2 linked regions of the Canis lupus familiaris genome follow. The protein of the gene in region 1 purifies or fractionates together with the protein of each later gene. This does not show direct contact. Links are inferred from orthologs where the notes say so. Each region holds a gene or a part of one and is shown in the gene's direction. Other genes may lie near its edges.

Region 1 (5,728 bases):
AAGGAGTTTGGCCTTTATTCTGTAGGCAAGGCCACGGCAGAAGATTGTTTCTTTCATTGAGATATAATTCATATACCATAAAATTCACCCTTCAGAAGCTTTTTGAATATGATGAGATGTGTGTTTTAGAAGGATCAGTATGGCAAGCAGTAAAGAGGATGGATCTATAGGCAGGCAGTGGTTGGGGCAAGCAGCCAAAATTATTATAACTGACTAAGAGAGAGGTCTAAGAAAAAGGGATATGATGGATCTACTTACACCTCACCCAGATGCAACAACTATCATTTTGCCACATTTGCTTTATCTATCCTCTTTTGTTTGTTGGCTAAAGTATTTAAAAGCAAATTCCAGATATTTTGTTATTTTAACCCTACAATCTCAATACGTATCTGTAAAAAAATATGAACATTTTCTTGAATAAGCACAATGTCACTTCCCCCTAGACAAAATGATCAAACCCAATTCGTATAAAGTTTCATCTAAAAATGTCTTCTTATGACTTAAAAAAATCATTATCCAAAAAGTAAGCACCATCTTTTAAGAGGCTCAGGTGCACAAGAATGAAAAGAATATTTCCAGAATACATTAAGGAAATAGTAAAAGGCTTGAAACTGGAGCACAAATGAGGGAAGTCAGATCAGGAAAATTTCCTAGAAGTCTGTGAGACCAGGGATCTAGAGAGAGAAAGGGGAGACTAGGATATGATATCTATATTTTAGCACAGGAGAAACTCCTTTTCAATGTGTAGTGGAGACCTAGCTGAGTCTGCTGAGGGCGGGGGGGTGGGGGGTAGATCTAGAATAATCTCACTGAGCATCCCACCGCTAAAGCAAGAGAATCATAAGATACCCCATTCTTCACTCCCAACCCTCCCTCCTCAGAGCAGCACGGGACATTCCAGACCCTCTCACCACCCCCACCCCCACCCCTTGCTCCCGTCACGAGGCCCCAATCCCCCAGAGCCCTTTCATGTGATGCTCAGCTGAGACCCCTCTGCCTGTCTCTTCCAGCCCCAGGACAAAAGCCTGAGCTATATTTACCCATCCCCATTCCAAAGAGGGGAGGTGATACCTCCTTACCTTTTCTATCCACATCAATACCACATTCTCTTACTCCTTTCTTTTAAATACCCTATCCCAAGTGCCTGAGTCATTCCCTAAGTCTTCCACTTATTTCCCTTTCAAAGCCCCTGCTCCAGCTCATTGCCCCGGGGGTGGGGTGGGGGTGTCTCAGAATTAGAGCCCCAAAGACCTACTATCCTTTTGCCCTTCCAAGCAGATGGGATTATTTTCAGGCTCAGTCCCAAATTTCCACCTAGAGAGGGACTTCAGATGCCCATGTCCTCGCTAAATCAAATGGGTGGAAGAAGCCTGAAATATTGCTGGTATCTCCCATGAGGAGGGAGAAAAATCAGAGCAGGTGTGCAACCCCAAACTCCCACTTGTTCATGTCCATACTCCCCACACTAACCTTCTGTGGCCCCCACAGCCAGAAGAACACCCATCACAGCCACATGGAGAAGGCATTTTCTCGGCACCAGATTCATCTTGTTCTTTCTTCCAGCAACCAAAGGCGCTGGGGGTGCTGGGACAAGCCCCTATATAGGAGAGGGGTGCTCATTTGCATAGCCCATCCTCCTTTCCCTCCTGGAGAGGCTTGGGAGGGGCAGGAGGGCCAGAGAAATAACTGAAAAGGGATCCTGGTCCCTGGACATCCCGCTACTCAATGACAGTTTCTGGTTTCACTGGGTCACGACCTTCTTGACCGGGGAAACATGGACTGCAGGGCAGCTAGCTACATCGTGTGTACTCGACGCCTGCAGTGCACCACAGGCTAAGGGGATCAATCTGGTTTTTGAGTCAAACCAGGAAACCTCTCAAACAGATGGAGACCCTGCATCTCCAAACAGAGAGATAGGATAGGATAGGCAGAGAGGGGCGCGAACGACGTGTCCAAGGCCCAGGACACCCATACGATGAGATTCCTAGCTTCCTGCTTTTCAAAGGCGGTTCCCTGGGCCAGGTGGAATTCAATCTTAGGGCAAGACACATTTTCTCTGGGGTTGGCGAATCAGAGGTCAGGAAATCCCTCCAGGCCCAGGACACAGGAAGGAAGCTCGACTCCAAATTGGGTACTTGGAAAAAGACGTTTATTTAGCTTCCCCAAGGTGACAAACTTGTATCGAAGACCCTCGGTAGTAACCTTGCGCGAGGTGGGGTCACTGGCGGCAGCGACGCGCTGGGCTCGCCCCCCCGCTCTGACGCTGGCCAATGGGAAGGGCCGGGGGCGGGGCCAGGGAAACGCGGGAAGGAGGGGCGGGGCCTCCACTGGCGGTAGGGAACCCGAGGGGAGGCGGCAACATTGTTTCAAGTTGGACAAATTGACAAGAGCGAGAGATACACTCCGTTCCATCCCGACCTGAGGCCGCGGAGCTGGGCCCTGTTTCCCCTCCTCCAGCCCCCGAGAGCCGGGGCCCGCCTTTTGCTGGGTTCCCAGGCCCCCGCTCCGGGGCCGGGCTGACCCGACTCTAGCGCTTGCTTCATGGAGAACTTCCAAAAAGTGGAAAAGATCGGAGAGGGCACGTACGGAGTTGTGTACAAAGCCAAAAACAAAGTGACGGGAGAAGTGGTGGCGCTTAAAAAAATCCGCCTGGACACGTGAGTGGCCTCTGTACCCGGGACTCCTCTAACTCCGGAGCTTCTTGAGTGCCCCCCGCCCCCACCCCGACAGGCGGGTAGCCGTCCGAGGACCGGAAGGTAGCAGGGTGGGACTTCTTTCGAAGTGGAGAGGTGGGCTGGAGGACAGTGAAGGGTTTCCCTGTGCAGAGTATAGGGCACTGTAGAGTCTGTGGGAAACTTTCTCCCCAAAGCCGAGTGATGCCCCCAAACGTGTAGTCCGAAAGACTCAGGAAGAGGAAGGAGGCCTCTGAGGTGGGGGTCCAAGACTCCCCGTGGAGTTGAGGTCTGTGGGAACCGGTGAAGAGCACCTTTCTGAATGAAGAGCCCTCCTCACTGCCCCAACCCCACCCTCCTCTTAGAATTCTCTACCCCTTTCAAAAGAATGGCAGTTGAACCTCACTGGCCCGTCTAGGGAGGCTGGGTGCTGCTACTCTTCTTTCCTCCCGTTACCTTCTCTCTTCTTCACCTCCACCAGAAGGCTTTACTTACCTACCCGTGGGAGAAGAAGAAATAATGACCTTAACGTATCCAAAAAGCACCCCCCTGTCCACCTGTGAATTAACTCCTACAGCCCCCTTTCTCTTCTGTCACTTTCCTAGGGTGTGCTGGGGTGGTGTCTCGTTCGGAGACTGGGCTGGGGGAAAAGCAGTATTTGTAACCACATTCCTCTCTCTGCTTTCTCAACCTCCCCAAGTGAGACGGAGGGTGTACCCAGTACTGCTATACGAGAGATCTCCCTGCTTAAGGAGCTTAACCACCCGAACATTGTCAAGTAAGTATGTGTCTGGGAGATATTTCAGCGGTAAAAGAGAATGTCTTCTGTGAGGCCGGGGCATCGCTCTTCCTCACCTCCATTCCTGGACCTCCCTCCCTAGGCTATTGGATGTCATCCACACAGAAAACAAACTCTACCTGGTTTTTGAATTTCTGCACCAGGATCTGAAGAAATTTATGGATGCTTCTGCTTTGACTGGCATTCCTCTTCCCCTCATCAAGGTAATCCTTCTCATCAACTCCTCCCCCAACATGGGCACGTTTTGGGGGGACTGAAGGCAGGCAATTCAGACTGGGTGATGATCTGTGATCTTAGCTTCCTTCCCAGCCCTCATCCCCCTACACACACACACACACACACACACACACACACACACACACACCTTTCTTTTGTGGCTCTTTCACTGCTCATTATGCTTATTAACCCCTGGGCAGGGCAGGAGAATCAAAGAAGTTGAAACTCTAGTGAGTCAACTTTGTAGCTCAGGTGGAAGGTCAGATGAAACTCAGATAAACGAGACTGGAGGGTACTTGGTACTTGGTAGATTCCTCCAAGAACCCCTTCCACTAGTTTGGTAGGAGAAATAGCCAGTGAGTCTCTGTTGTCTGTCTTAGGGCTGGGTTCTCTGCTCCCTGAGCTATTTTCAATCTATCAACAAACATTTATTCGGTGCTCATTTACTGAACACCTTCAATGTGCTAGGCACAGAATATGGAAAAGAGATGCAAAACTAAATAGGACCCAGTCCTTATCTTCACTAGACTAGCAGTCCAATGGGAGATACAGCTTATAAACATGCAATTATAATCTAATACAGTAAAAGGCTTTAGTACAGCTTTGCAGGCAGAGTGGAGCCTAATAGCTCACTGTGGTCGAGAAACAAAGTCCTCTCTCTCTCCTTCGTCAGAGCTATCTGTTCCAGCTGCTCCAGGGCCTAGCCTTCTGCCATTCTCATCGGGTTCTGCACCGAGACCTCAAACCTCAGAATCTGCTTATCAACGCAGAGGGGGCCATCAAGCTAGCAGACTTTGGATTAGCCAGAGCCTTTGGAGTCCCTGTTCGTACTTACACCCATGAGGTGAGACCCTGTCTGCACTTCTTCTCTGAACTTTCTGGGAGGTGTTAACAAGGACATTTACAAAATGACTAAACCTATCTGGCCAGCAGTTTCTCTCTCCCTAGATGAAAGTATCTCTGGCACCCCAGGAGGTTTTAGAGTATGCACTGAGTTCATATTGCGGGGCTAGCTGGGCTTCAGTAGGTACCAAGCCAGCAGAGCTGGATGGCATATCATTAAAATTATGACCACTTCTCTCAGGAGTTTTCCAGGAAGGTTGAAAGTTTTGGGTTCAGAAAATAGGGTCTTTGGAGCCACAGGCGAGGCTAACTCTGGTCTAAGAAGTTGTGTGTAATCACTTTACGCAGGGGAAGTCAGAAAGATGGGAAAAGAAAGATAGAGGGAGAGAAGCTGCTTGTGATCAGGCTGAGAACTAGCAGAGTAACACCGAGGAGCTGACATGTGGGAATCACTGTGCCCCATGCACCACCTCTCCCCTTCTTGCTCTTGTTCCCAGGTGGTGACCCTGTGGTACCGAGCACCTGAAATCCTTCTGGGCTGCAAGTACTACTCCACAGCCGTAGATATCTGGAGCTTGGGCTGCATCTTTGCTGAGATGGTATGGAGGCAAGCCCGAGTTCCACCCAGCTCTCTCCTCCCCACATTCAAAAACAACAGAACTTTTTCTTGGCCTAGACTCATGGCCCTTCTATTATCTAGGATCCTTTCTCTTAGAGTAGGACCAAAGCGGGTACGGGGGAAAGGATAGGACTATCGTCCCTGAGGTCAACTACAATGTCAGTATATCCTCAAATGGCCTTAGCATTAAATACACGTCTCTTGTCCCCAAATTGAGCTAAATCATTTCTGCAACTGTTTTAGCTTTAGTCTGCATATATTTGGGAGAATGAGTACCTACCATTCAGTGCCTCCTTCATTTGGCCTGTAGACCTTCTAGTAAGGTCCCAGGAATATGGTGAAATCAACTGTATTCATGTTATCCATTTATTTATTTATTTATTTATTTATTTATTTATTTATTTATCTATCTATCATACCTTTTATTTAAACTGCAGACTTAAATTATGTCCCCCTCAACTTCTGGCTTTTCTGAATGAAGGATCCCTGAGGTCCAGCCTTTTATGGGAGCTCTCATCCCCTTTAATATAACAGTGGAGTGGACTGTGTTTTCACTTCAAATCAGCAATTTGTTTTATG
Region 2 (5,430 bases), on another chromosome or scaffold:
ATAGCTATACCGGCTTTGTTCTGTTTTACAGACTACATACACACAGTCTTTCCCCACTCCTCTGGGAGGCAGCTATTTGCTTTAGACAGAGTTCTCTCTCCTTTTTTCAGGAAGTTATCGCTTGGTGCTGCGTGGGTTGAAACGTGGAGCGCAAGAGACACAGGTGGGAAGCTGCCACCGGAGCCACTGGCGCGATGCGCGGCAACCCTGGGGCAGAGGGACCGCGAGGAACAGGTAAGGGACGTGGGGAGACTGCTGTGTGGGCAGCGCGGACTCGCTGGTTTCTGCCTTAGGACCCTGGAGACTCGGAGGTGAAGTGCTGGCAGGTCTGGGGAAGCAGCCCAGGCACGGAGACGTGGACACCTCGGCATTCCGTCTGTCCCACGGGGAGGTGGCCCCACACCTGCGGAGCCCCCGCAGGGTGCCAGGTGGCTGTCGGGGGCGGGGGGAGCGCTCCCGAGGCGCACTGATGGAAGGGGTCTTCCAGGCCGCGGTGCAGGGGAGGTCCCAGCCCGGGGAGGTCGCACCCACCACCTCCCGTGCAGGTGAGGCCGTCGCGCAGGCAGCCCCGACGCATCGGGCTGGGGGAACAGGGCATCTTGCGTCCCCCGCACTCCAGTTGGGGGGGGGGGGCTCGAGTCCCGATCCTGCCCCCTCCTGCCTCAGTTTCCCCCTCTGCACACACTCGCGGACGGTCTGCAACCTGCGGGAGCCCCGATGCGTCGCTGGCAACCGGTGAGGGGAGGCGGCCAGGCCCGGTCAACCGGGAGACGGTCGCGGGCAGGGACGCGAGGAACCGGGGACCGGGCAGAGTCGCCCAGCGGGACGGGCGGGCCCGGCCGGCGCCGACTCCACGCCCGGGGGCCCCGCTCGCCGCCAGGCCGCAGCCCTGGCCCTAGCCGCCCAGCGGCCAGCAGAACAAAAGTGGCTGCCGCGCGGGGCGCGGGGCGTCCCACAGGCGCGGCCGCTGCGCCGCCGGGGCAGCCCCGCCGCCCCACGCACGCCGGCCGCGCCTTCGGCCCCTTCCGCCCGAGCGCGCTCGGCTCTTTCCGCCGCGAACGGCGCAGGTGGAGGGGGCGGGGCGGGGGCCGTGCGTGGTGACGCCGCGGGGGGGGTGACGCACCGGCGTGCCCCGCCCCCTCCCCCTCCCCGTTCAGGCTCTGGAAAGAGAAGAAAAAAAACTTTCTTTTTTTTTTAATTGAGGAATCAACAGCCGCCATCTTGTCGCGGACCCGACCGGGGCTTCGAGCGCGATCTACTCGGCCCCCGCCGGTCCCGGGCCCCACAACCGCCCGCGCACCCCCGCTCCGCCCGGCCGGCCCGCTCCGCCCGGCCCTCGGTGCCCGCTCCGGCGGCCCCGCTCGCCTCTCGGCTCGGCCTCCCGGAGCCGCGGCGGCGGCGGCGGCGGCGGCAGGCGGCGGCGGCGGCGGCGGCGGCGGCGGAACGGGGGGTGGGGGGGGCCGCGGCGGCGGCGGCGGCGGCCCCGCTTCGCGCATTGTTTTTCCTCACGGCGGCGGCGGCGGCGGCGGGCCGCGGGCGGGGAGCGGAGCCCGGAGCCCCCCGGTCGTCGGGCCGCGAGCGAATTAATTAAGTGGGGCGCGGGGGGGGGGGGGGAGCGAGGCGGCGGCGCGGCGGCGGCGGCGGCACCATGTTCCCGGGGACTGCCTGAGCCGCCCGGCCGGGCGCCGTCGCTGCCAGCCGGGCCCGGGGGGGCGGCCGGGCCGCCGGGGCGCCCCCGCCGCGGAGTGTCGCGCTCGGGAGGCGGGCAGGGGATGAGGGGGCCGCGGCCGGCGGCGGCGGCGGCGGCGGCCGGGGGCGGGCGGTGAGCGCTGCGGGGCGCTGTTGCTGTGGCTGAGATTTGGCCGCCGCCTCCCCCACCCGGCCTGCGCCCTCCCTCTCCCTCGGCGCTCGCTCGCGGCTCGCGCTCGCTGCTCTCCCCTCGCAGCCGGCCGGGGCCGGCGCCGACCCCCGCCCCGGAGCTCTTGCCGGCCCGGCCGCCCGCGCTCGGGGCTGTTTCCGCGAGCAGGTGAAAATGGCCGAGAACTTGCTGGACGGACCGCCCAACCCCAAACGAGCCAAACTCAGCTCGCCCGGCTTCTCGGCGAATGACAGCACAGGTGAGGAGGGGGGGCCCGGGCGGGGGGCGGGGGCCCAGCCCGCAGGTTAGCGCCGGGGGGACCCGCCCCGAGGCGCCAGCCCGCGCGGCCGCTGCCCGGGGCCCCGCCGGCCCGGGCCGAGGGGGAAGTTTGTGGCCGGACGGCGCCGGGGCCCCGAGCGGGGGGCCAGCCCCGGAGTTGGGGAGCCCTCCGCGCGCGGAAGGCGAGCGGTACCTGCGGGGAGCACAAGGGGAGCGGAGCGCGCCGGGCTTCGTGGCGGTTCCGCGCGCCTCCCTGTGCGGCCGTGCGTCGGCTCACGCGGGGCTGCCTGGAGGGCTGACAGCGGAGGGTGGGCTTCCCGGTGACGGAGGGGAAAAGTGCAGCGAAGCGGGGGTGGGGGTGGGGGGACGACCCAAAGTCTTTTCTGAGCTGGTAGCACGATTCGCAGCGCTGCGATCCGGATCAGGACACACGCTCCACACACACAGCTCGCTCGTAGCAGCAGCCGACCTGGGAGTTGGGACTTTGGAAGTTTCTTGGGATGCGGTCCTTGGGAAGATGCTTTTCGCAGTTTGTCTTGAAAAAACTCTGGTTGTTGGGTCTACCCAAGGCCGTTCCGTTTGCACCAGCCCCAACTCGGTTAGCAAGATGTCATCCAAGTTGCTGTGCTGTGTTTAACTTCAGAGGCATGACCTTAAAAGAAAGTTTAGGTACAGCAGATCCTTTCGGGCTACATCCTCCGGCTTGAGTTGGTGGGGCTTTTACACTGTGGGTGTATTAAAGAAAATTATGTTAAGGAATGTAGGAATCGCAGGTCCCACCCACCACCACCACCCCCTCCAAAAAAAAATTTTTTTTTTTTTTTAGCCAGGTATTAAATGAAGCGTTCTTTCAAACAGCATCCATGAAAACTTTGTGAAGTAATCCCATCAGTTGCCTAAGTATTTTAGTTTCTATTCGTTTAATAACTCTGGGCTCTTCTGAGCTGGTTCACGGTAGCATTATGATCGAGTTGTATTTCCTCTTTCAGACCTCTCCTTTGCAGTAAAAACTTGTGCACCGCTGCGAACAGTTCTGTCTCCAGCGCAGCCTGCATTTCTCCAGTACGGTCTTGGTAGTAGCAGCATCTGAAAATCAGTTTATAATGAATGGGTCCAAATTGAATTATATTGCTGCAGCGATGCCTTCAGATTTGCAGTAGACACAGCTGTTCAGCTTGTGCAAATATTTCTGTGGCCACTGGCATATTTCTACTAATGGTCTAAAAAAATCTGTTTCTCCTGTTGAAACAAAACTACTTGGGTTTTGTGGCTTCGGTTTTAATACAATTTCAAGGATAGTAATGTAGGTGTGAGAGAAAGGATATTTTAAAATATCATGAGATTCTTATCTAGTTTAAATACAATTTGTTAAACGGTGGGGGGGGAGTAAATAAGTCTCATGGGGCAAAAAGTCACTAATACTTTTTTGTAATTGATAGAGTGGAGTGTGATGTTTATTTTGTCAAATCAGCTTGTCTGAAGTAAGAAATGTGGAAACAGCCATGACTTAGATGCCCTTTTACTATAGAACAGATCTCTTTTGCTTCATTAATCTTGCTATGTTTGAGTGAAAAGTCTTTAATCATATGAAACATAGATCATACCAGGCAAGTTCAGCTTTGAAGTTTGTCTTCTGAAACTGGTAACTTTTTGAATGGCTTTGCAGCTTTGCTCTTGTCAAATGAGGCTATTGCAGATTGTGTTTTCTATAGAGGGATAAATTACTAACACAAGACTTAACAGAAAGGGTTTTCCGAATATATACATTCAGCTGTTAACAAGGTGGAGCCTAGAGAATGGCCTTTTTGGGTAGTTCTGTTAATGGATGGTCAGATATTTACTTGATGCGCTGCTAAATCACAACAAATTTTTTCGGAAAGGATTTTTCCCTCTTGGCTACTTTTTCTCCCCTTTCTTTTCCAACGTTGATCCTCCTAAAGCATGAGGGCTCACTCTTTTCCAAATGGGGAACACAAATTTTTAATAGCTCTGATTTAAATAATAAAATTCATGATTATACTTATGTCAAGTCACCTTGGTTACGTTTTCATCACGTCACATTATTGGCCAGAGTCTATCAGTGCGGGGGCCAAGGAAGGATCGTCATCGAGCAAATTAAAGGAGGTACAACCTTGTCTTCTGTAACCAGTAGTCTGAGACAGAGATCCTAAGGATATATATTGAACAAATAAAGGACTCTAGGAATCACATTACGTCCAATCAAAGGAGTGAAGGCATTGGGGTAGGTGGGAAAGTAGGGAGAGACTCAACCTCGTTTAAGTGAGGGGATGTGTTTTTGAGGCTCCTGGAAGAAAAATGGAGCCAGGTGGAGCAAAGCGCGTTTTCTTTTTCCGTGATAATAGAATTTGAAGGGAGTTCTGTACATGGGAAGAGCTGAGAGGTTAGGAGGAGCAGGAGGCAGCCTGGTGGCCTGAGAAACGAGGGATTTGGACTGCTACCATGCAGCACATGTCTGTAGGGACTGGCCTGGGGAGCCATCGTGTCCGTTGCGTGAGTCTAAGGGACTGACATTGGGTGGAGAGAATAGTACTCCTGACATTGGGTAGCTAGCTCACAAGCCAGGGTGCTCCCCGCAGGGCACTTGCAGTCTAGTAAGGGGAGCGTGTATATAGCATGCCAGTGAGATTAGGTGGCATCTCTGAGTGATGAATGTCATTGCCACCGGTATCAGATTGTCAGACGGGAGAGGCTCTGAAGGCTGGGGAGGTCAGGGAAGTCTTCTGAACAGAGTATGCAGAGGGGATGCGGCACTAGAAAATGTGCCCCAAAGGAAGGTAGCAAGAGGAAGAAGGAGAAATAGTACTTTTGACCTCACCCACACCTCAGCTCTGGAGTGGCACTGGATTTCAACGTTGTGAGGTATTGTTTTACCTTGAGGGCTTAAATGCTTTCCTGTAAATGCAGTCTTCCTTCACTTGGCACCCATTATAAAAGGTAGGACTGTGTGTTTCCAATATATAGTTAGTTGTGTGTTTTGGAAACTTCTTTATTTAATATGTCCCGATTAAAACAGCATATTAGTGTTTTTCAAAAGCAGGGATTCATGACTTAACAGTGAAGGAGAAGTAAATATCCAAGCAAGCAGACTTTTTTTTTTGTCAGCTTTATTGAAGCCAGATTTACATACAACAAATAGACTGTTAAGTTTTTTAAGACTGTCTTCTGAAAATTGGAACCTACTTCATCCTATCCTGTTTGTGTCCCTAGCAGTTGTGATTATACTTCATAACATGGATCCCTTTAAATGCTATAGGAAACCATATTTAAAGAAA

The links.
Region 2: the proteins of CDK2 (region 1) and CREBBP purify together in Homo sapiens (affinity purification with mass spectrometry; 3 studies listed by BioGRID and IntAct, counting the BioPlex papers as one, with this or other methods). This does not show direct contact. The link is inferred for Canis lupus familiaris from reciprocal best matches to the Homo sapiens genes CDK2 and CREBBP.

What each region holds. Positions count from the first base shown.
Region 1 is NC_049231.1:650,216-655,943, forward strand, and holds the start of CDK2 (cyclin-dependent kinase 2), read left to right. Parts: upstream 1-2,298; 5' UTR 2,299-2,541; coding exon 2,542-2,657; intron 2,658-2,784; exon of another isoform or gene 2,785-2,930; intron 2,931-2,987; exon of another isoform or gene 2,988-3,191; coding exon of another isoform or gene 3,192-3,202; intron 3,203-3,372; coding exon 3,373-3,450; intron 3,451-3,553; coding exon 3,554-3,674; intron 3,675-4,360; coding exon 4,361-4,531; intron 4,532-5,027; coding exon 5,028-5,129; intron 5,130-5,728. Other genes in the region: melanocyte protein PMEL precursor, read right to left, coding at 1,471-1,546. UniProt on the Homo sapiens protein: Serine/threonine-protein kinase involved in the control of the cell cycle; essential for meiosis, but dispensable for mitosis. Phosphorylates CABLES1, CTNNB1, CDK2AP2, ERCC6, NBN, USP37, p53/TP53, NPM1, CDK7, RB1, BRCA2, MYC, NPAT, EZH2.
Region 2 is NC_049227.1:37,710,419-37,715,848, forward strand, and holds the start of CREBBP (CREB-binding protein), read left to right. Parts: upstream 1-1,952; 5' UTR 1,953-2,032; coding exon 2,033-2,117; intron 2,118-5,430. UniProt on the Homo sapiens protein: Acetylates histones, giving a specific tag for transcriptional activation. Mediates acetylation of histone H3 at 'Lys-18' and 'Lys-27' (H3K18ac and H3K27ac, respectively).